Linked DNA regions of Arabidopsis thaliana. The protein of the gene in region 2 interacts with the protein of the main gene of each other region in a pairwise test. Each region holds a gene or a part of one and is shown on either strand. Other genes may lie near its edges.

Region 1 (7,710 bases), on a different chromosome or scaffold from region 2:
TTTTCTAGTGCCGAAATTCGATCCCGGAAACTTTTCAAATCCGGAAAGCCATCAATCAATTAAACCGGAGAAACAACAATCGAGATAAATTAAATCCTTGTGTTACAGCGGATCTTTTGATAAGCAATGAATTTACACTGTATATATATTTACACAAATAACAACAGATAAATTAAAAAAGTTTCCGCTGCCAGGATTCAAACCTAGAAAGCGATCAATCGATTAAACTAGAGAAACAGCAATCAAGATGAATTAAACCCTTGTACTACAACGGATGTTTTTGATAAGCAATGAATTTACACTGTATATATTTTTACACAAATAATTACATATTTCTTTTTAAAAAAGTTTTCTTATGCCACAGATCGAATATGAGAGACGAATTCTTTTGATAGGCAATGAATTTGGTTTGTGGATTTCAAATTTAGGAAAGTTATCAATCAAGATGAATTTAACCATTGTGCTATAGTGAAACTATTGTTAAACTAGGAATTTACACTATATTAGGGAAAGACTAACATGACCGAATAAATGAAACACAAAAGACGACTAACATTAACGAATAAATGAAACACAAAAAAACGAGTTTAATTAGGAATTGAAGTTCAGTTCAAAATTAGAAAGATTTGTATCACGAAAGTTCAACATAGCAAAACAATAGATGAGATCGAACCATGTGACATAACGAGGTTTAATTAAGCACAATCCTAGATTCTATTCCTTAGCCCACCAAATAACAACTACTTAAGTTTCATGACACTGTTTTATGTTAAACTTCTATGGAAACAGTGTCAAGTAAATCAATTGATGGCATTCGTAGATTCTATTCAAGTCAATCACCTAATTATGTTAAACTCTATCTGAAAATAAGATTATGTAATAGGCTTACTAATCATCCTAGCATCGCCTCATGGCTAAATAATGGAAAACTTATTAGATTTGTGTTAAGTAAATTCATAACGGCCATAACCTCCTTTAGGACATGGAAAAGCCTAAATGAACTGTATGATCAAACTTAATCTTGTGGAGAATGATCACACATCATAAAGATGAGAGAAGATTTGAGTAGTATATAAAAGACATTGGATAATTCATTAATTACCAATTGGTTTTGAGTTGGAATCCCATGAAACTTAACATGATAGGAGAGTCCAAACACACGTTGTCTGACTAATCTGGCCAGAAAGTTGTCTGAGCATTCTACTAATTGATGGTTTAAATGAAGATTCAATCCTATCGAGATAGATAGAAAATCATTATTTCGAAGAGACGAGATAGATTCTATCAAAATTAATGGCCAGAAAAGCTATTATTTTGAGAAAACGTGTGGACAAAGATCTCATATTTAAGCTAGCTCATTGCCAGAAAGCAAACAGGATAATATGGAGACACCAGACCAGACGTGTGTAACTAAGCAAGAGAAATAAGTTTACATAGAAAGCATCAAAATTTCTGATTTTAGCACAATATGCCAAAAAAATCGCCAAAAATAGTAAAACGACGAGGAATTAAAGAAATAGAAAATGAGAAAAGTTTCTTGCTGACGATAACGAAACTAGTCTAGTAAATTGAAGAACGCAACTAAGAAGAAGTTGGTTTCAAAGATAGCTTAGAATGATGCTGTAATATTCAAGCCATGACCAACTTTGTGAACCAGATTATTTCCCTTACACTCCAAAAGAATAAAAAGAAAACTAAGAAAGATAAATCTTAACTAAGCGTTTGGAAAATGATCATGAGTTCCAAATATATATCTTGATAACTGATTCCATATCTGCTTAAGAAAATAAATGTGCCTCCGTAGAAAAATGGAACGTAACTAGAGTTTTCAGACCGTAGCAACATTCAGCTTTGTCCACTTCCGGAATATTGTCATAAGCAAAAGAGATGATGATTGGCAAAATATTCCACATATCAAACCAATCCACAAACCCTGTCGCCATCAAAATAATGAATCAAACATAACATAATCAAACAAAATTTACTAATCTTATTATAGAATCAAGCAATACCTTGGCATAAAACTTCAACTTGAAACCACAAAAGGCGGCAATCGGCATTCCAATTAAGTAGAATGTCGCCAAATTTATAACCGTGACTAAACGCTGCCATCCGCATCCTCTTGCAACTCCTGTAAATAAATTTAACAATGATTTTTACCACCCTAGATGAGTAAAAAAAAAAAATATATATTGGATCTTTTACCTGATAAAACTCCTTGGATTGAATCAAGAGTTATAGAGGCAGCAAGAAAAAACCTCAATGATGCAAACTCCTCTTTAATCACATAGCTATCGCTAAATAACCCAACCCAACCATCATGACCTACGAGTAAAACAATTACAACGCCGAGAGCAAGAACTAAAGACAACTTTACGGACACAGAGGTCGCCTTCTTTGCGCCTTTTACATTTCCTGCTCCAAGTTCATTGGACACACGCGTACTGCAATATTTATTTTCGATTTTTACATTTCCGAAACAATATTTTTCAGCAAGATGGAATACAAAGTATTTTGAAACTATCTAGTAAAATGAGCAAACCTTGCAGCTGCACTAAGTCCGTATGTTAACATGTAGCTAATCGCCTCCGTGTTGACGCTGAATTTATTTAACATAACACACATTGAGAAATTTGATATAATAGATAAAAAAAACATTAACTACCAAAAAAGTGATATTAAAAATATATATTTTTTACCATATAGCGACCAAAGAAGTATTGATTTCCGGGTTTGGCATCACTCCTGCCAAGAACACAAGAATCTCGAATGCCCAATATTCCAAACTGTTGCAACAATATAGTCTCTTAAGCTTCAACAAGCCTAATGATATTTTTTTTTCTTTTTGTCAACATGTACTATTTGGTTTTGACCCCGGGTATGATTACATTGACTAATATAAACCACTAGGCTAGATATAACGGTCAAGAAACATATATACTTACCATACCATAGCAGCAGAAGGGAGGCTTAATGTCAAGTTTATTACGATATAACGGAATGATTCCAACGAAAATCCAGTCCATGTTTCCTTAAACTTTTCTGAACACATCACATAAGTTCCAAGCGAAAGGAAAGCTATCCACAATGAAATAGATGTAGCTATTGGAGCACCAATGAATCCAAGCCCAGCTACATAAACAAGAACATATGCGGTAGCAATGTTTATCACCAAGGGAACAAACGAGAAGATGACTAGTGGAGCAATGATCGATTGTGTTTGGCAAAATCTCAAAATATTTTGTAAAAACCCGTAAGCTAGTAAACCGGGAGCTTGGTACTTCATATAGAGTGCAGCTTGTTTTGAAATGCTAGGATCTTGTCTGAGAAGTCCAAAAATCGATTCTGTGAAGAACCAGAAGATGGTGATGAGGATGCTGAAAACTAATGAAACGATGCAAGATGATTGTAGATGAACTCCCAACATCCTGTATCTTTTTGCACCAAAGCCTTGTCCACATAATGTCTCAAGTGATCCACTTAACCCTACCTGAAAACAAAGAGACATTAATGTATGTCATAAACAAGCACTTATACATATATACCGTTGGCCAAATGTTCTTGAAGATGTCGTTAATAAAAATTTAGACAACTCCTAAAATCATCTACTAGTCATTTATGTCGAATAAATCATTTTAAACAATCTTGATTCTTGAATTCGAGTTCGAGTCTATTATTGAGATGGAAATAAGTGGGTTTTAGTAACTTTTGCAAGTAGACATCAAAACAAGATTTTAAATTACAAAAGCTAAAGAAATAAGGAAATAATGGTACCATGAAGGCAAAACCGGAGACGGTGGCCCAAGAATTGGCAAGGGTGGCACCGGCGAGCTCGAGTTGACCGAGGTGAGAAGCAAACATCACAGAAGTTATAGGAATACAGTAGTAGAAAACATTGGTGAGTATCATTGGCAAAGAGTAAATCATTTGAGCTTTTGCTTCTTCCACGTCGATCACTTTTTGAACCAAAGTTGATGATCTTGATCTCCTTCCTCTTTCATCTTCTCCACCTACATGGTCATCCAACAACGGAGAACTCGTTGCCGGATCAGCCATTGGATTTTCTTGTTGAAGGACTTTGGGTTTGGTTAAGACTTGAAGAGGAGAATTGTGATTTGGCAAGGTGAGGAATTAAATAAGAGATGTACGCAGAAACAGGATATTAAATACCAACACAAGAGGCCTCTCTGCCATTTACTGCCACATTATAATGCAATATAAATACATTTTTTAATTATGCCAAAAAAGATTCAATTTATTACATCCTCAGACTAATTATTTTTGGATCAGAATCAATAATCTTAAAACAAAATGATGACTTAAAAAGTCAACCAATTAAATTTGCAATGTACTATAATCAGGCAGCTCATGAGTCATGACCACCCGATTACCACCTCAGGAAACTTTGAACATTGGACTTAACTTATCGTTAAAATTGTGAATAACAAAACTTCATCAATTAAGAAATATTTCTATATTACAACAATTCACCTGTTTCAAGACATGCATAGGATTGGTATTAAAATACAAAAGTAAAACTAATGAAAATTTGTATTTGAGTTTTTTTTTTTTTTTACAAGTTTTCATTAGTTGTATAGTCACATTTAGAGAGAGTATCGTAAAGACGTCGTCACCTAGTTACCAAATCTATAGGAGAACTTTTAGATTTAAGAACGTTTTCCATACTCAAACTCAGAGTTCAGATATGGTACCCTCTGAGCAAATATTTATGTTTGTATCTGATTCGTGAAATCGAGGACTCTGATGCCATAAGATTGAAGAAGTTTCCATCTCACAAACATGCCTCGTTTATTTCATTGATCTGATTCTGTTTTTTTGGAAGAGAGTTTGTTTACAATTTTTATCTGATTCTACAGCTCATCTCCAGTACTAGGATCCAATTCTAGTCAGATTCATGGTTACTCATCTTCTTGTTTTTTTCTGAACCATGGTTACTTATCAACTAGAACCAACAAAGACAGATAATTATCTGAAATATCAATACAAGAATCCATATTTAGAAAAAAAAATTATTTTTAATCATCAAATTAATAATTAAACAGAAGCTGGTGAAACTAACAACTATCTGTTAAACATTAGTTGAGAATTGCTAATTTTGTCAAGGTTTTATGATTTACTAAGAGGTCGATTTTTCAAAAAACAAAAAAAATCGTAATGCAGATGAATTTTAAAGTAGAGCTAATTCATTAGTCATAGAGAAAAATCAATTTAGAAAGATTTATATAGCTGAATTTGGGGATGTCTTTATTTCAATATCAACAACATAAATAGGCTTAAGGTCCAAAGGAACATTAAGATATTTCTAGAACGTCTTAAGTTTAACTCAAACTGATGTTTCTCAGACTGAAACGAAACAGAGAACACTAGCCACAAACATGACAAAGCAACATAAATTAAAGAAGATACTACTAGTTACATTTATTATTTAAAGAGTACTAGACATGATTTTGGGTCTCCGCTGGTTATGTGCAAACCAAAGCTTAGACCGTTTCAAGTTCTCACTTGAGATAGTCGATGAGCCAAGCGAGCATGTCCTTGTGAGCTTCCATTGCAGCTTCAACTTCTGATGGATCATTTTCATTGTATCTAACAGTCCAACCGTGTTTGCATCTTGGGAATATCTTCACAAAACTCTTCACCTGAAACATATCACTTTGCTCACAATTATCTACTTGAAGAAGATATCTACTTCCAAAAACACATCAACTACTAGTTGTGTTTTTGTAAGTAATGAAAATATTACCTTGCATAAAGACATAGAGCTAAGCAAAGTACCTGAGGTTTAGAAGCTAAAATATCTTCGAACTGCCTCACAAGTTCTGGAGGAGACACTTGATCGATTTCAGCTCCTAATACAGCAATTGGAAGGTTGACCTCTGCTTCAATCATATAGTGAGAGTCATAATCACAACAAATGAGAGAGAACTATCAAGTAAGGAGTGGCCATATCAAAGATCTAAATACCCTTGATATCATCCACCGTAACGCGAGCAGGATGTAACAAAACAGTAGCGTCAACAAGCTTTTCCTTAGCTAGTTCCACCGCAACTTTTGCTAAAGAATAAGAAACAAAAAGTCTTGTGTTAACTAATATACATGGTTGACTTATTATACAGATCATGGAAAACATTTTCATAAAACTGTGGTGATGATGGGAACAAGAAAACCGAACTCACCACCCCAACAGAACCCTGCTGCTCCTATACTAGTTATGCCTTTGTTCTTCAAGGCCTCCACTATTGGCTTTGACTCCTCAAACCCTTTCTCCTACAAAATCCATAGTCTGGTTTCAGATACATTGACACAGAACAGTACAAAAACACTGACTTAATCTTAGCTTTGCAATCAACAATAAGTAGTGATAGCATTTTGGCACTAATAATAAGGGATTATTGGGATACTTGGACTATTTCATGCTGGGAAACAAAGACTCATTTATGTTTTTGAGAAAAATTGAGGATTGAACATTTAATAAGGAAAAGAAACTAACTAGTTCATGATCTTTCATCCAAATAGGAAACGGACGATCCTGGTTCTCGGGATTATAAGGATCTCCATGGAAGAAATCAGGAACCACCGCGTAGAATCCAGCTTCTGCAACCTTGTCAGCAAGTTTCCTATCAAGGGAAGAACAATATCCATGACAAGTTACAGCAAGAATGAAACATCTTTCGAGTGACTATAAAAGGTGATATAAACTATAACTCATTATAACAAAGAATCTGAAGTAAAAGACTGTCTAACAATCAACAAAAGACAAGCTGATTCAGTAGGGATTCTCTGTTACAGCACCTCAGGTTTGGAGTTTCATATCCTGCAGAAGAAAACGTTTTAGATTCTCAAATCAAACCAACAAATTCAGAAAGAACATCAAACGTAATTGGGACAGGTAAAAAGGTTTTTTTACCGAAAACATGAGGGACAAGAAGAACAGCAAGCTTTGAATGAGTGGAACCACAGACGTAGGTGTCAAGGTTACCGAGTTTCTCGACATGACCCGACCCGCTAGTTGGATCCAGATCAGGCGGGTTCTCGGTGCACTGATGACCTGACATTCTTGTTTTCGCCGAACCAAAAAACAAGACGACTCCTCTCTCGCGCTTTGGGACCTCTGTTTTAAAAAGTAAAGCCACCAAACCACCTTTGACCTTTCACACCAGTTATCTACACTACGTGTGCGTATCTACTCTTCCACCTAAAAAAACTCACGTGCGTTAAATAAAAACTAACTTTTGCAATGTTAATTTTTCTTAGAATAAATTTGCTAAATGGGGTAATACCTTACCTTGAATGATTGAATGATTCTATGCACTTATGCAGAGTAAAAAACAAAACCCAACAATCAAAGATTATTCTAATTCAATTATCAATTTTATCATAACAAACAAAAACTCTTTTGACAAATTATTTATGTGGCTTCCTCTAATTATCTTTAACTTTTTTTTGTTTAATTCACAATTTATGTGGTCAGATATTTTTTCTTCCTTCCACAAGGTGTTGCCTTGAAAATCACGTCGGAAGATCACGAGGAATCGTTTTGCGTGCGCCACCCAAACAGACAAAACAAAAACACTTCTTTTGTTGGTTCCTTGTCGGTTTCCAAGGGTTTTTGTTTAGGGTTTTCATTTTCTTTTTCCTTATCTATCTAATCCTCTGTTTCTCTCCACATCAAAAAAAACCTCAAAATTA
Region 2 (5,518 bases):
CGAACTGTGTAAGATATACATAATTACAAATACGGTCAAAAATTCAAAAACGGATATAAAAATACCCCGGACATAAATAATTGTTTGAAAAAAAATTCAAGACTTATGTATATATGTTGCACAAATTAATTATTTATATGGAAAATTGGTTAATTAAATAAAGAACTTATAAATTTCAGTTTCAGAAGTTGAAGAATTTAACCGTAGTTTCTTCTACTAGGACGTGGCATTCCTCTTCTCTGGCTTGATGGCCAGTCTCCAGAGTCATTGTGTTCACTGCTTCTCTCAGGATTATAGTAACCTCTTGAGTCATAACCATTGCCTCCTCCTCTACGTCCATGTCCTCTTTGGTTAGTACCGTTATGGTTGTTTAATCTTGAGAACCTTGAAGTAGAACCAGACCGGTTCAGGTCCAATGGCAATGGCTCAATCCCTTGCAAATCAGGCTCTGGGGTGAACCAAACCGGGCGTTTCGACTCATCCATTTTCCTAAATGTAATTGATATCCTGTTGAATAGAACCGGGAAGAAACATACTCATAAGAGAAAAAATGTTTGTTTATAGAAGAAAATTGATGCAACAATATTTATAACCTTTTTGTAGGAACTGCAGGTACACAGTGCTTAGCTACATCAGCTCCATTTCCATTTAACACCAGAACTGATCTGATAAATATGAAAATATCCAAAAAAAACAGTCTTTGATTTCATACTATTCGACAAGGAATGGCCGAAAGTTTTGAAACTGGGAATTCTTACGAACTTGCTTACCCCACAGGAAGCGGTATTGAGTATGAACCCGAGAAGTCACCAGGACCCTCAACTTTCAGGTTTGAGCCAAAGAGGATATCGCATTCACTGAGGAAAGAGATGGTACAGAAGGGACGGAGAAAGTCGTGGTTGTCGATGTGAGGAGGTATGCAGTCACCTTCATCATAGATGTTCACAATGCAGCTATCGGGCACACAAGTTGGAGGCAGTACATGCCATTTAATCAACTTTCTAATGATTACTTTGAAAAGATGAGGTAGTGGATCCACTTCTTCACGTTGAAGGATACCCGGTGGGTTTCCAGCTCTGTCCTATCAACCCAAAATACAAGAAGGCAAAACTCTTAACTCCTTTTTTAAGAATGAAACAGATTAATGAAAGTATGACAGAGAACGTTACTTACTGGAGCGTAGTTGTAGCAACAGCCAAATTGTATAGTCTCACGTCCTTTTCCTCTCATCCACTTATGTGGAGCAGTAAATGTACGCTCTACAGAGAGAGAACAAGACAAGATTCAGATTAAAAATAGGTCACAAGTTAAGATAAGAGCATTTTCAGATCAAAACAAGAAGTTACTTTTAAGTTCTCCTCTTCGTCCCTTCTCTTGAAGTTGATACACTTGATCAACAATCCGTTTCTGCTCCACTGCGCTAAAAACACCAGTGTGCAACTCAAGTCCATCAAGCACGTTAACAATCTTTCCCTTAACTCTCTCCAAGCAAATAAAGTCTTTCTTTCTCTTCACATTAATCAGCCTGAGATTCTCTCTCTGATCTCTAGACAACTTAGGCTTCTCTGGAGTCTTCATCGAACTCGCATCAAAACCTTTCCTACTCGAATCCCTCTCCTCTTCCTCCTCCTCCTCCTCCTCATCGAACTCATCCTCTTGTGCCATATCAGCCCAACGCATACGAGGGCTTGCTGTTTCAACAACAGCTGGTCTAGATTGCAATACACTACTAAAATCTTCAGGAAAGGAACCAAATACAATTTCACTTCCCTTCCAACTACCTAACGAATGATTATCACAGTCTTCGCCATTTTCCGACTTCTCATCATAATTATCATCCACATTGTTACTAGCTCTTTCTGATCCCATATTTTCCACCACTGAACAAGAACCAGTTTTACACTCTCCATCAACTTTGTCAGTGTTGTTACTACAATGTGCTACACATATGGAAACATGATTTCTCATAAGCAACTCCACATCATAACTTAATTCACAAATTTAGAAACGTACTTGCTACTCTCTCGCCTCCTATTTGTTCCAATTACCAAACCCTAATTTTGTAACCTTATCATTTAGCAGAACATCAATCAAAAAAGCAGAATCAAGTACAATAATGAAGAAAATCTCCGCTTTCTATACAGAATTTCAATATCCATAGAAACCAGAAAGTCTCTCGCCTCTAAGAAAAAGTTGAGAATCGTTACCTGGGTCAAGAGAACGGATTCGATTGGAGAGAAGGTGATTACAATCCTTGCATAGATCTTTAGATAAAAAAGGAAGCCAATTCGTCAGAAACTCCGAAGCGATCTTAAGCTCCGACGGCTGGTACTGCCGGAGAAATGGATCGTTTTCCATGAGATACGCTCGATACAATCCAAATCTAGTACTCTTGTTACAGAAAATTCAAATTTCCTAGTCCACGATTTGAAATCTAGTACTCTTTTGTCAGTGTGGATTCTGTGACGGTACACTTGTAAATTCTAGTATTAACCAAACAAGGGTAATATCGGTATTTAAGCAGCCAATTAAAGCTCTTGGGCCGTTTAAAATTCTTAAAAGCCCATTAATTTCGAAACGCCACCTGTCGAGACATAATTGGGTCAGAGGATTTTAACGGTGGAAGATGAAGAAGCTTATCTTTTTGCAAAATCGTTTCTTCCTTCATTCATCATAGCTTCAAAATCTTAAAAACAACAACAAAAATGAAAAGTCTCCACTTTTTAGCTCCCAATTCAACGATTATCAATCTGAAGCAACAATCTTATACAAAAACCAAGTTCCAGTTGCATCGTAGCAACAGAAGAACTCTATCGATAAACTGCGTAAACAGTGGCGGTGATGAAGAGAAGATTACTCAGCCGTTGGATGGAGTGGAGATAAGATTCAAAAGAGGATCCAGAAGGAAAATGAGGGAAGAGGGTTCAGGAGAAGGAGGAGGACAAAGCGGGAAGAAAAAAGAGACTGTTCAAAAGCCATGGGAAGAGATGACATTGAATGAGAAGGCATTGGAGCTTTATGTTGGAGAGAAAGGTTTGTTGTTTTGGCTAAACAAATTGGCTTACGCGTCGATATACATTGTCATTGGAGGTTGGATTTTTTTCCGGTTTGTTGGACCGGCGTTTAATCTTTATCAACTCGATACACCGCCTCTTGATCCTAAGAACATCTTAAAGGGTTAAGAAATGCTTTGTAGCTGTGTCTGCATTCTCTGTTCCAAAACATTTTGAGGCTTATATATTCAAGTTAGTTTCGAGTAATGTGTAGCCATGTCTCACTAGATTAAGATACACAAGAGAACAACACTCTTCATGAATTTTCAAGATTGTTCTGTTGGAGTTATGTCCTGATCAAGGATATCTCGTGTAGTCTTGCACCTGACATGGAAAAGAAAATATTTTTTTCTTCGGCTTTTTGTTTACCTTAACTCAATGCAAAGAATCAGAATTATTAACTGAAAAAACTAGATTAAAACTCACCTATTGCACTCTGCTCGTGATGCATAATTGTGATTCTTGCAATTTGTACACATCCAGTCGCCATCACGCCATTGTTTCACTCTAAGAAATCAGACAACACAAAGAATTGGGAAGGTTGCAAAAGATCACGCCATTGTTCTAGCGTTTAGAAAACAAGAAAACAATGGAGACCAGAGATCAATACAGTACCCCATTCCAAGTAAAGCAGGTGTTGAGTGTTGTTGTAGAAACGGGAGAGGAAGTTGCCAATTTGAGACCCTTCCTAGGCTCATACCAGGAAAAGATGCATATATCGCTGACTGTGTTTGCATGCTTGTCTGCACAACGAGCCAGAAGAAACAGAGGTTGGTTAAGCAGCAAGTAAAATTGATGAATGTACTAATCAATTTATGCGCTCTAACTAATCCTTACATATCCTTGATTCAGTCTTTTGCTATCCCATTCATGAGCCAAAGCTTCTGATGCTAATCTCTTTGTACCAAGGGCTGCAACCCAAAATAAACTTTCCCATATTAAAACTCGTGAAAGGATTATCAGACACCTTCGGGTTATATAAGATTGCACGCGCATCGGTCTTAGACAAAAACCTTACCTAGTGGAGCTATTTCATTGCACTTTTTGCACTGCAGAGACATACAAAACAGAAATGAGTAAAACAACAAGCCGGAATCTGCAAGTCGGTTTTGCATTGTGAACCCATTTCCTCACCTGTATACGAGAGGAATAATTGTGAAAACCACATCTGCAAATCCAGTCACCACTCCTCCATTCTTTATGAACCGAAGCTTGATTTGTAGCGTTAGAGAATGCGAGTAAAGAACCAGGTTGATCATGTGACTCAGGTCCACGGGTGAAGTAATGGAGATGAGTTTGAAGAGAAGCTCCAGGGATAGCAAGTGCTGACAATGCTGCTACTTCCTTAGATTGCCCACATTTCTTGCACTTTTCTCGTGATGCATAATTGTTGTTAGTACAACCTATTGCCACACCACACCACACCACACACCCAAACGCAAAACGTAGAACGAAGAAGATACACACGCACGCACACCACAACACACCCACCAGCAAATTCCATATACCACATAACACAGAATACACAAAACAGCTCAACCTAGTTATAAGTAAATCCCCTAATTCACAATTCCAATCTAATGAAACATCAAATGTAAAAGGGCATTTGAAAGTTGAAGGATTTGAACTCAGAACTTACGAATTAGATCAATCCTAGTTTTCATTCACAATTCAATCTAATGAATCCGCAAATGGAAAAGGGCATTTGAAAGTTTTAAGGATTTGAACTCAGAACTTACGATTCTGATCAATCCTAGTTTTGCTTCTAGTTCATTAGCACAATCTGGGAAGCTATAAAAGAATTGAATTGAGATAGGAGAAGAAAGAACGAACCAGTGCAGATCCAATCGCCGATACGAGGAAGCCACTTAGAGTTTGGAGAAGTATTATTATCCATGATAAGACGAGGCTGCTTGCATCTGTTACAGAATGATCTAAACGCATAATTCCTGTTTCTGCATCCTAAACATTCCCAGTCTCCTTCTCTTCCGTCTCCCATTTCTTCTTCCCGGAAAAACTCCAGTCTCCGGCGACGACGACTCACTCTTTTTCGTTCAGAGAGGAGAAAGAAAGAGAAAGTTGAAGAAAGCTAAAGCTGGGCCACATTTGTTGTGAAGTGACTAGGCCCATTAGGCCCATTAATTTCTTCAGAGAAAATCTCTTTCGTCCTTCTCTTCGCAGGTGGCAATCGTTACTTACTGACATACATCTTCATCAGTGATTTTTGGGTTTGAAATTTCTCTAGATCGATTTTGGATTTAGATCTCTTTGTTTCTACTGCTTTTCATCGTTGGATCTGCGTTTTGCAAAGGGAGATACAGAAAGGAATAGCTTTGAATTGACAAGGTTTCTCTCTAATCCAACCGAATCTCAAGCTTCCATGGCTCTCAATCTCCGTCAGAAACAGACTGGTAATTATCTCTTTATAATCTCAAGTTTCTGCGATGATTCTTCTATTGCTTCAT
Region 3 (8,976 bases), on a different chromosome or scaffold from region 2:
ATGTGGCGGCGGAGTCTGCGGTGGTGGAGGGACCGGCGTTGGTACTCAGTCGTCGGATTGGATCTACGTGGGAGGAGGAGATCCTACTGCTCAGCATCAACATGTTCATGATCCAGCGGCTGCGTTTTACATTTCGAATCCGGCGGTTCAGTTTCCGGCTAGTCAGAACTCGTCTTCTTCGTCGAAGAATCTGCTTTCCGATGATCTCCGCCTTAAGATCGTCAAACAGGTTTTCACTTTTTTTTTTTTTTTTTTTTACTTTAATGATAGGTAAAATATTGAAAATCATTATGTCATGAGATCTTAAGATCATATATGATTTACATTAGCCTATCAATTTTCATAAAATAGAAAACCTAACTTGACTCACAAGAAACCACTTTTATAGGTTGAGTACCAGTTTACGGACATGAGTCTCCTAGCCAACGAGTCCATTTCAAAGCATATAAGCAAAGACCCTGAAGGTTATGGTAAGCCTAAATTTTTTTTCATTTAACTTGTATATGATCCTTGAGATCTCTGCTCTGTTTTGCATTAATATATATGTTTAAAATATGATCCTTGAGATTTCTGCTCTGTTTTGCATATTCATATATATGTTTAAAACGCAGTGCCCGTATCCTATATCGCTTCGACCAAGAAGATCAAGGCTTTAACGAGTAATCACCACCTAGTTTCACTTGCTCTACGCTCCTCTTCAAAACTTGTAAGCTGCTTCTTTCTTTACTCTCGACTTACCAACTAAATATTATAAGATCCAAGTATACTGAGAGATCTTTGTGAACACAATTAAGGTTGTGAGTGAAGACGGCAAGAAAGTTAAGCGTACAAGTCAATTTACTGATAGAGACAGAGAGGAATTGCAGGTAAATTTGAATATCACTAAAGCTTCATTGTATTTATTATCAACTATATATGAGTTCTTGTTACTCTTTACTGTTCTGCAGGGCCGGACTGTCGTTGCAGAGAATTTGCCAGATGATCATTCTTACCAGAACCTTGAGAAGATCTTTGGAGTTGTTGGAAAGTAAGAAGGCTTTTTACTTTCATTTTAAACATTTTCTCTACATCAATAAACAACAACTCTGGATGCAATTTGTCTCAGCGTCAAAGCGATTCGTATATGTCATCCTCCAGAATCCAACTCGTCTCGTCCAAAAGGCGATTTCTTGATGAGCAACAAAGTAAGTACCAAGTCCTGTTTCTACTTATCACGTCAACTTAAAGAGCTTAACATATCCATCTTGTTTTACTCTAAAGATTCACGCCCTTATCGAGTATGACAACACTGTTATCGCGGACAAAGCAGTGAGTAAATCTCTACTTTCAACTATCTTTTGATCCAAGGCTCTGTCTATTAGTTTCTGAGATATATAGCAAATGCGATCTTACCAGGTAGAGAAGCTAAACGATGAAAGAAACTGGAGGAAAGGGCTTCGTGTGAGGCTGCTTCTTAGATGCTCGGTTGATTTCTATATTCTCTTCTTAAGTCACACATTTCTCTCTAGACGTTCTGAGATTAATTTCGTTGATATACTTTGTGTGCTACAGCCAAAATCGGTGCTCAAGAACCGAAGAAACTTCGATGGAATCCTCATCGATGATGAACTCCCTTCTTATGAATCAGGAGAAGACTCTCCGCGTCTCCATTTAACCGAATCACAGCTTGATAACGATGTTAGTACTGTTGCTTAAGTCCCACGAAATGTTTTTCCATATATATATAGAAACTAAATTTTCTTGCTGTGCACGTTAGGGTGATGACAACAATGTTGGTGGACTGTGGGGTAAAGGGAGAGGAAAAGGACGAGGACGATCCCCAAGAAGCTACGCAGTAGGAGGAGGAGGACGTAGCTTCGGGATTGGGCTCGGAGTCAGCCTCGGGATACCCAGCCTGGGGTCACACGAATCTTCGTCTCCTAAAACAGCAACAAAGGGACCAAGAATGCCTGATGGAACCAGAGGCTTCACCATGGGACGTGGCAAACCTTCCATCTCACTCTCACCTAACAATCTCTAAATAGTTACCCACCACAAGGACTGCTATTTATAATTGATTTATTATAATAGAGGTAAAAGATTTTAGAGTTAATTAACCAAATAATACATATGGATTGGTTTTCCTAAGATGCATTCAAAAGAAGCAAGGCACATGACTTGGGAGAAGATAGTGAAGGCACGGTGACGTTTTTTGAGGGTTCGTTTTATATAACTTTTTTCATTTTTTGAGGCAATTTCTTTTCTGTATGTTTAATATGTTTTATTTTTGTGAGATTATTATTTGAATAATAAAGGGGTAATTTATATAGCACAAGAATTGCAACCCTCTCAACTCTTTGTTTTGATTTAGATGAGTAATGGATTTGAATAAGTGACTGAAAGATTGGGTGAAACTTGAAAACTAATCAATTTTCTTTCTAAAGAAAAACTAAAAAAACATGATGAATAGTTTATAAAAAGCACAAGCACAAGAAAGGAAATAATCAGGTAAAATGTTACTATCTTCTTGCATCCTAACTAATTCCAGTAACTTGTATCTATTGACATTCCCAAATGGTTTTTTAACCGGTTTGATATATATTAATTTTTAAGACATATTCGACAATTCTTTAACAACCTTGAAGAAGGCGGAGTCACTTATTGAATCCATTATTCATCTCAATCAATATAAGGAAGTGGGTTTTGTTTACAATAATTGCCATTTTTCGATTGGATTTTGTTTACAAAACCCAATACTTGAAAAGACATTTTTCAATGACCTTAGATTGGATTCAATGTTGTGAAAAAAAAAAAAAAATGGATTCAATGTACAATTTTTTTCTAAAAATAAGTGAAAAGACAAATGAGTATTGAGATAACAAAAGTTCTTGCCAAGGTTGTCTAGTAATTTCATAACCTATGGTAGTTGTCAAACAAACTAATTTATAGTATCATATTAATTATAATAAATGTATAATCTTTAATTGAAACAAAACCTAATTTTACTCCCAAATTAATAGAAAACCTTCAAAGGATGGAAATTGTTGGACATGTATTTACATGAAACCAAACATGCAATATCAGTAAACCAACTTCATAGTCTATACTAAATTACGTACCGATTGGTAGATAGAAATAATGATAACTAAACTGATCTTAACGATTGGTATTGGAGAGAGATTTTCAAATCAAGAGTTAGTAAGAAAAAGAAAAAAAGAACTTAGAGATGTGGATCAAATATTTTGAAAATGATGAAATCTTATTAAAAATTGAAATTGATATACGACCTGTCCAGATACAATGAAGTTGTTAGGTTACAACATCAGCATGTTTCAAAAAGGGTCAAGCAGGTACATCCAATCAATTTATATAACGTAAATCCTGATTTTCAGAGCAATATTATTTGTATCTTTTATAACCTCCCTAGTTAATTAGTAATAAAATATTTAATTTAGTAGTATCACAAGATGGAGCTTTAAAAGTTATCTTTAATTCCCACTTTTGAAAATGATAACGTCCATAAATACATTTCAAAACGTTTTTATTCTCCCAATAAGATATCAAAAAGACAATATCAACAACAAAAAAGACAAGAAAAAAAGACAAAAAATAATGATAGATAAAATACAAAAGCAAAAGAAAACGTATAGTATTGCTTAGAGAAAGAACAAACATATTGTGAATTAAAAAGAAAAAAAAAGAGGGACAAAAGTAGAAAGACGTGGCAAAAAGCAAACTAAATTTCGACCAATCCACATCTAAAATCTAACCTTCTTCATCAGATGGAAGGAAGCTACTTCACCACCCGCAGATTCTGCCATGTGGCTTCTCTCTCTTCTACAGCTCACTTCTTCTCTCTCTGTCTCTCTCTAACTACATTGAAACCAAACCAGAGTGCTTCAATGTCATTGCTGTGATTCTCTTTAAGTCCAGACATAACTCCCATATCTTCTTCTTCTGTCTTTTTTTATTTCTTTGAACCGGAGAAGAAGAAGAAGAAGGAGAAGGATATATGGGAGGCTGTACTTCCAAACCTTCCTCCTCCGTCAAACCTAATCCTTACGCACCCAAAGACGCGGTTCTCCAAAATGACGATTCTACCCCTGCTCATCCCGGGAAATCACCGGTTCGTTCATCTCCCGCCGTAAAGGCCTCTCCTTTTTTCCCTTTTTACACGCCTAGTCCCGCCCGGCACCGCCGTAACAAGAGCCGCGACGGCGGAGGAGGAGAGAGTAAGAGCGTTACCAGCACTCCTCTCCGTCAGCTCGCGCGTGCTTTCCACCCTCCGTCACCGGCGAGACATATACGGGATGTTCTGCGGCGGAGGAAGGAGAAGAAGGAGGCTGCTCTGCCGGCGGCGAGGCAGCAGAAGGAGGAGGAGGAGAGGGAAGAGGTAGGGCTGGATAAAAGATTTGGGTTTTCCAAGGAGTTACAGAGTAGGATTGAGCTAGGGGAAGAGATTGGGAGAGGGCATTTTGGGTATACTTGCTCTGCTAAGTTCAAGAAAGGAGAGCTCAAAGATCAGGAGGTTGCTGTTAAAGTCATCCCAAAATCTAAGGTCATTTTTACAGCTTTACTTTTTCCAAATTCTCAAGTTTCCATCTTAAGTTTTCTGCTTCAATTGGCTCAAGTGCTTCATCATTGTAGTGATAGCTATATCTGACAAATTGAAGATTCTTTGTGTGTCTTGTCTGATTTGTTTAGTAGATGTTAAACTGTTTCAAGGTAGAAGAACAAACCATCATAGTCTCCTTTTGCTTCATGATGAACCTGTAATTTGATCATTACGGTCTCTTGAGATGTTTCTGTTCTTCTCTACGAGCTTACTGTCCTCTTGTTTGAGCCATCTTTTTGAAAAAATTGATAGCGTATGTAGACTTTCACGCATAGAAATTAATACAAAAACAAGTAATAGCGAACACAGATGAGGTTGAAGTTTGTCAATGACACTTATGTTTCATCCATGTTTTTCAATAGCCAAGTTTTCAATGGTTGTAGATTAGCATTGCTGACTTTTCTGTGAACATTTCTAAACGTTTTAAATTGGTCAATAAATTGGAACATGGACATTTGTGCTTTTGTCAATTGTCATTAAGCAATTGAAATTTTGATGGTCCTTATTTGATGACTAAGAAAGTTAATCATGTAATCGAGTTAGTTGGTGTAATATACAGATAGGTTTAGTGTTAGCTTAATCCACAATAGACTGTTTCTCATCAGCTTTGGTTTGGCAGATGACATCTGCAATATCTATAGAGGATGTGAGAAGAGAAGTGAAAATACTGCGGGCGTTATCTGGACATCAAAATTTGGTACAATTCTATGATGCGTTCGAGGACAATGCCAACGTTTACATCGTTATGGAGTAAGACAATCATGTGCTTATATATTCCTGTGTCATGTTGAATCTACTAGGAGAGCTATCAGATTCTTATTTTCCCGACTTGGCTTACTTCAAAATGTTTAGCTGTGAATAAACATTTACTTTCTTTCAACTTTCAGGTTATGTGGAGGTGGTGAACTTCTTGACAGGATACTAGCAAGGTCTGCTTTTAAAGATTGTTATGACATTTGTTAACTTATGGTCAGAGATCCTTCTTAGAGATGTTCTATTGGCTGTCTAACTATTTCAAATTTACTTCTCTTACAGGGGAGGAAAATACTCTGAAGATGATGCAAAAGCAGTGCTTATACAGATCCTTAACGTCGTAGCTTTCTGTCATCTCCAAGGAGTTGTTCATCGAGATCTAAAACCAGAGGTGAACCGCACTTTTTGTCTTTGCTTTTTCCTTTCAAAACCCAAAAGAAATATTGTCTTAGTTGAATACCAATCTCACATTTGAAACACTTTCATGTTTCAGAACTTCTTGTACACTTCCAAGGAGGAGAATTCTATGTTGAAAGTCATAGATTTTGGCTTATCGGACTTTGTCAGACCAGACGAAAGACTAAATGATATAGTGGGAAGTGCATATTACGTAGCCCCTGAAGTTCTACACAGATCTTATACCACAGAAGCGGATGTATGGAGCATAGGAGTCATAGCATACATTCTCCTATGTGGAAGCCGTCCTTTTTGGGCAAGAACTGAATCAGGAATTTTCAGAGCAGTTCTAAAAGCTGATCCCAGTTTTGATGAACCTCCTTGGCCTTCGTTATCCTTTGAGGCAAAAGATTTTGTTAAGAGATTATTGTACAAGGACCCTCGGAAAAGAATGACTGCATCTCAAGCTTTGAGTCAGTAATCTCTAAAATATCCACATCTTTCTATATTTATCTTCTGTTTCTAGCTTTTCATGAATCACCAGTTGAAGTTACTCCACGTTTTTTTCCGGTTTTTACAGTGCATCCTTGGATCGCGGGTTATAAGAAAATAGATATCCCATTTGATATTCTGATCTTCAAGCAGATCAAAGCATACTTGAGATCTTCGTCTTTGCGCAAAGCTGCTTTGATGGTACATTTTGCTTCTAACCTTTTTTACTGTTTCCAAACAACATTTAAGGATGTGTTTGATATTTATTACCTTTGTATCTAGTTTGCTAACTCTTTTATTCTCTCCAGGCTCTGTCCAAGACATTAACTACCGATGAACTTCTTTATCTGAAAGCGCAGTTTGCACACTTAGCACCCAACAAAAATGGCCTCATCACTTTAGATAGCATCAGACTGGTATGTGCCTTCTCTTCCTCTCTGTCTCTCTCTGGTAGAAAGCAAACAGCTCAAAGCTAGATTTATTTCTGTTGGACAGGCACTTGCGACAAATGCAACAGAAGCAATGAAGGAATCACGGATCCCGGACTTTCTTGCATTGGTATTGTCTCCTTTCTGTTCTTGTCCTTTTGCTTAATCTGTTTAAGATACAATCCAAGGTTGGTTAACGAAAGTTTGGTGTTGGGAAATGACAGTTAAATGGACTTCAATACAAAGGGATGGATTTTGAAGAGTTTTGTGCAGCTTCCATTAGCGTTCATCAGCATGAGTCTCTTGATTGTTGGGAGCAGAGCATTCGTCATGCTTATGAGCTATTTGAAATGAATGGAAACCGAGTTATCGTCATCGAAGAACTCGCTTCTGTAAGTTTATAAGAAATTCGACACTTGCTTCTGTCATGCTTAACAATTTATTCAGCTAATTCCTAAACGAAGGGAACATAAATGTTTTGTAGGAACTTGGTGTTGGATCATCCATCCCGGTTCATACCATTCTAAATGACTGGATAAGACATACTGACGGGAAGCTGAGTTTCTTGGGTTTTGTCAAACTGCTGCACGGTGTCTCGACTCGACAATCTTTAGCGAAAACGCGATGAGGAAAGTGACTCGGTGTTATAACGGATTCGAAAGAGGAAGAACATACAACTGCAAGAAGCAAATGGGTGGATTGGGGTTGGGAATTGGAATTTTTTTCAGGACCCATTCCTATGTTTATAGTGTTAGAAAAAGAATGCTAAGTTCCGACAAAGAAAGAGAGTATCCAGAAAAATCCGACAGGCCTGGAGAGTTGTATAATAAGATGATAATCCACAGTCGTGTTCTTCCAAATCATGGAAGACAGATATTAAGAACATCCCTTTCTCTTTTCATTTGGCTGTCTCCATTTTTTCCAGGAAAAAGATTCAGATTCCATTCACAATGTGCCACAAAGCAAATCATAAAAACCCATTCCTAAGTCACAAAACTTACAGTAACAGAGAGCTATTAATATTTCAAATTCGGAAAAACTTGCTTCTCAAGATTCCATAATCCATATCAATAGAAGTCATACATTTCATTCTCAAAAGGTGTTACAGAACAAACCATAAACCCATTCCTAAGTTACAAAACTGACAGTTGGGATGGCTAGGCAACAAAGTCAGCTTTTTAACATTTCTGAATCCTCAAACTTTCTTCTCAAGAGGATTGAATCTACAATGCTATCTAAAGTTCTAAACACTTGAAAGCATCTGCTTCTTACATGATAACAAAGATAGAAAGCTCCATTTTTTGACCAAGATCTGTTCATGTCTTTTACCTCGAGGAGAGTCTCTGGTGTAAATCTTCTGCCAATGCTTGCCTCAAACTCTCCCCGTAATAGTAAAACTGCCTCTCACTCTCCAAAACTCTTGCAGGCGTTCCAGCTTCATCTGGATCCTTCCAAATCTCCGGTTCAGGTTCTCTAGCAATCTGACAAAGATTATGCAACACACAACAAGCCACAATAGTCTGAGGAGCATGGTTCACACCAACATTCAAACTCTGAAGAATCTTCCATCTAGCCTTGAGCAATCCAATAGCTTCCACCACCACTGACCTTCCTTTCATCAACATTCCATCGAATAGATTCTCCGGTGGCGTACCAGAGCCATTTGGTGAAAATGGAGTCATCAGGAATGAGAGAAGAGGATAACACCAATCTCCAACAATGTATGGTCTCACATGGTGACCTCTAATATTGATAACTTTCTCCCAAACAATGTCTCCTGAAGTAAGCCTCTTATATAGAAGACTATCTCTGAAATGAGAAGAGTCGTCTTCTCCACCTGGAGCTTTCACACAAACGTCCCAAAAGATCTTCTTGTGATCAGCAACAACCTGAAGCAAAACGGCGTCGTATCCGTACTTGCAACCGTAAATGTTTCTAGGGTTTAGTTTCGTGCGGCGTCTGAGCTTCACCGGAGTACTATCAATGGCGCCGCAAATGTTGGGGAGAGAGGTGAGTTCTTCGAATCCCTGAGTCGTTTCGATCAATCTCCGTTTTCCGACGGGGATTTTGATGAATTCTGGATATAGCTTGGTGGCTAAGAGACGTGTGACCATGTTTGTGATCTTGGAGATGAGGTATGGATCTAGTGAGTAGCGAGAAGCTAGGGTTTTAGCTGAGCAGCCATGAGCGAGACGAGAGAGGACCATAGCGACGGCGTAATCGGCGGGGAGAGAGAGATTTGAAGCGGTGATGAATGGTTTGAGCTTGTCGACGACGGTGATGAAGACTGGGTAGGAAAGACCGTACAATGAG

The links. Proteins that work in one complex are often made in the same cells at the same time.
Region 1: the proteins of AT2G17972 (region 2) and ALF5 interact in a protein complementation assay, tested with the Arabidopsis thaliana proteins (one large-scale study listed by BioGRID).
Region 3: the proteins of AT2G17972 (region 2) and AT3G19100 interact in a protein complementation assay, tested with the Arabidopsis thaliana proteins (one large-scale study listed by BioGRID).

Annotation. Positions count from the first base shown.
Region 1 is NC_003074.8:8,452,533-8,460,242, forward strand, and holds ALF5 (MATE efflux family protein), read right to left. Parts: upstream 4,177-7,710; 5' UTR 4,057-4,176; coding exon 3,775-4,056; intron 3,491-3,774; coding exon 2,946-3,490; intron 2,787-2,945; coding exon 2,700-2,786; intron 2,600-2,699; coding exon 2,543-2,599; intron 2,445-2,542; coding exon 2,206-2,444; coding exon of another isoform or gene 2,165-2,205; exon of another isoform or gene 2,132-2,164; coding exon 2,013-2,131; intron 1,934-2,012; coding exon 1,829-1,933; 3' UTR 1,371-1,828; downstream 1-1,370. Other genes in the region: AT3G23570 (alpha/beta-Hydrolases superfamily protein), read right to left, coding at 5,520-5,660, 5,797-5,897, 5,986-6,075, 6,198-6,288, 6,512-6,638, 6,814-6,835, 6,929-7,076.
Region 2 is NC_003071.7:7,818,919-7,824,436, forward strand, and holds AT2G17972 (uncharacterized protein), read left to right. Parts: upstream 1-2,666; 5' UTR 2,667-2,705; coding exon 2,706-3,182; 3' UTR 3,183-3,319; coding exon of another isoform or gene 3,320-3,377; 3' UTR 3,378-3,412; downstream 3,413-5,518. Other genes in the region: AT2G17970 (2-oxoglutarate (2OG) and Fe(II)-dependent oxygenase superfamily protein), read right to left, coding at 198-507, 594-665, 771-1,081, 1,174-1,259, 1,347-1,940, 2,208-2,358; AT2G17975 (zinc finger (Ran-binding) family protein), read right to left, coding at 3,320-3,377, 3,480-3,560, 3,669-3,796, 3,891-3,964, 4,072-4,102, 4,188-4,456, 4,887-5,052; ATSLY1 (Sec1/munc18-like (SM) proteins superfamily), read left to right, coding at 5,434-5,464.
Region 3 is NC_003074.8:6,601,690-6,610,665, forward strand, and holds AT3G19100 (Protein kinase superfamily protein), read left to right. Parts: upstream 1-3,606; 5' UTR 3,607-3,991; coding exon 3,992-4,537; intron 4,538-5,213; coding exon 5,214-5,344; intron 5,345-5,481; coding exon 5,482-5,523; intron 5,524-5,629; coding exon 5,630-5,738; intron 5,739-5,840; coding exon 5,841-6,216; intron 6,217-6,323; coding exon 6,324-6,436; intron 6,437-6,543; coding exon 6,544-6,651; intron 6,652-6,730; coding exon 6,731-6,793; intron 6,794-6,887; coding exon 6,888-7,055; intron 7,056-7,147; coding exon 7,148-7,291; 3' UTR 7,292-7,606; downstream 7,607-8,976. Other genes in the region: LARP6c (RNA-binding protein), read left to right, coding at 1-229, 389-470, 612-706, 795-1,027, 1,106-1,184, 1,261-1,308, 1,396-1,464, 1,552-1,677 and 1 more; AT3G19120 (PIF / Ping-Pong family of plant transposase), read right to left, coding at 7,989-8,976.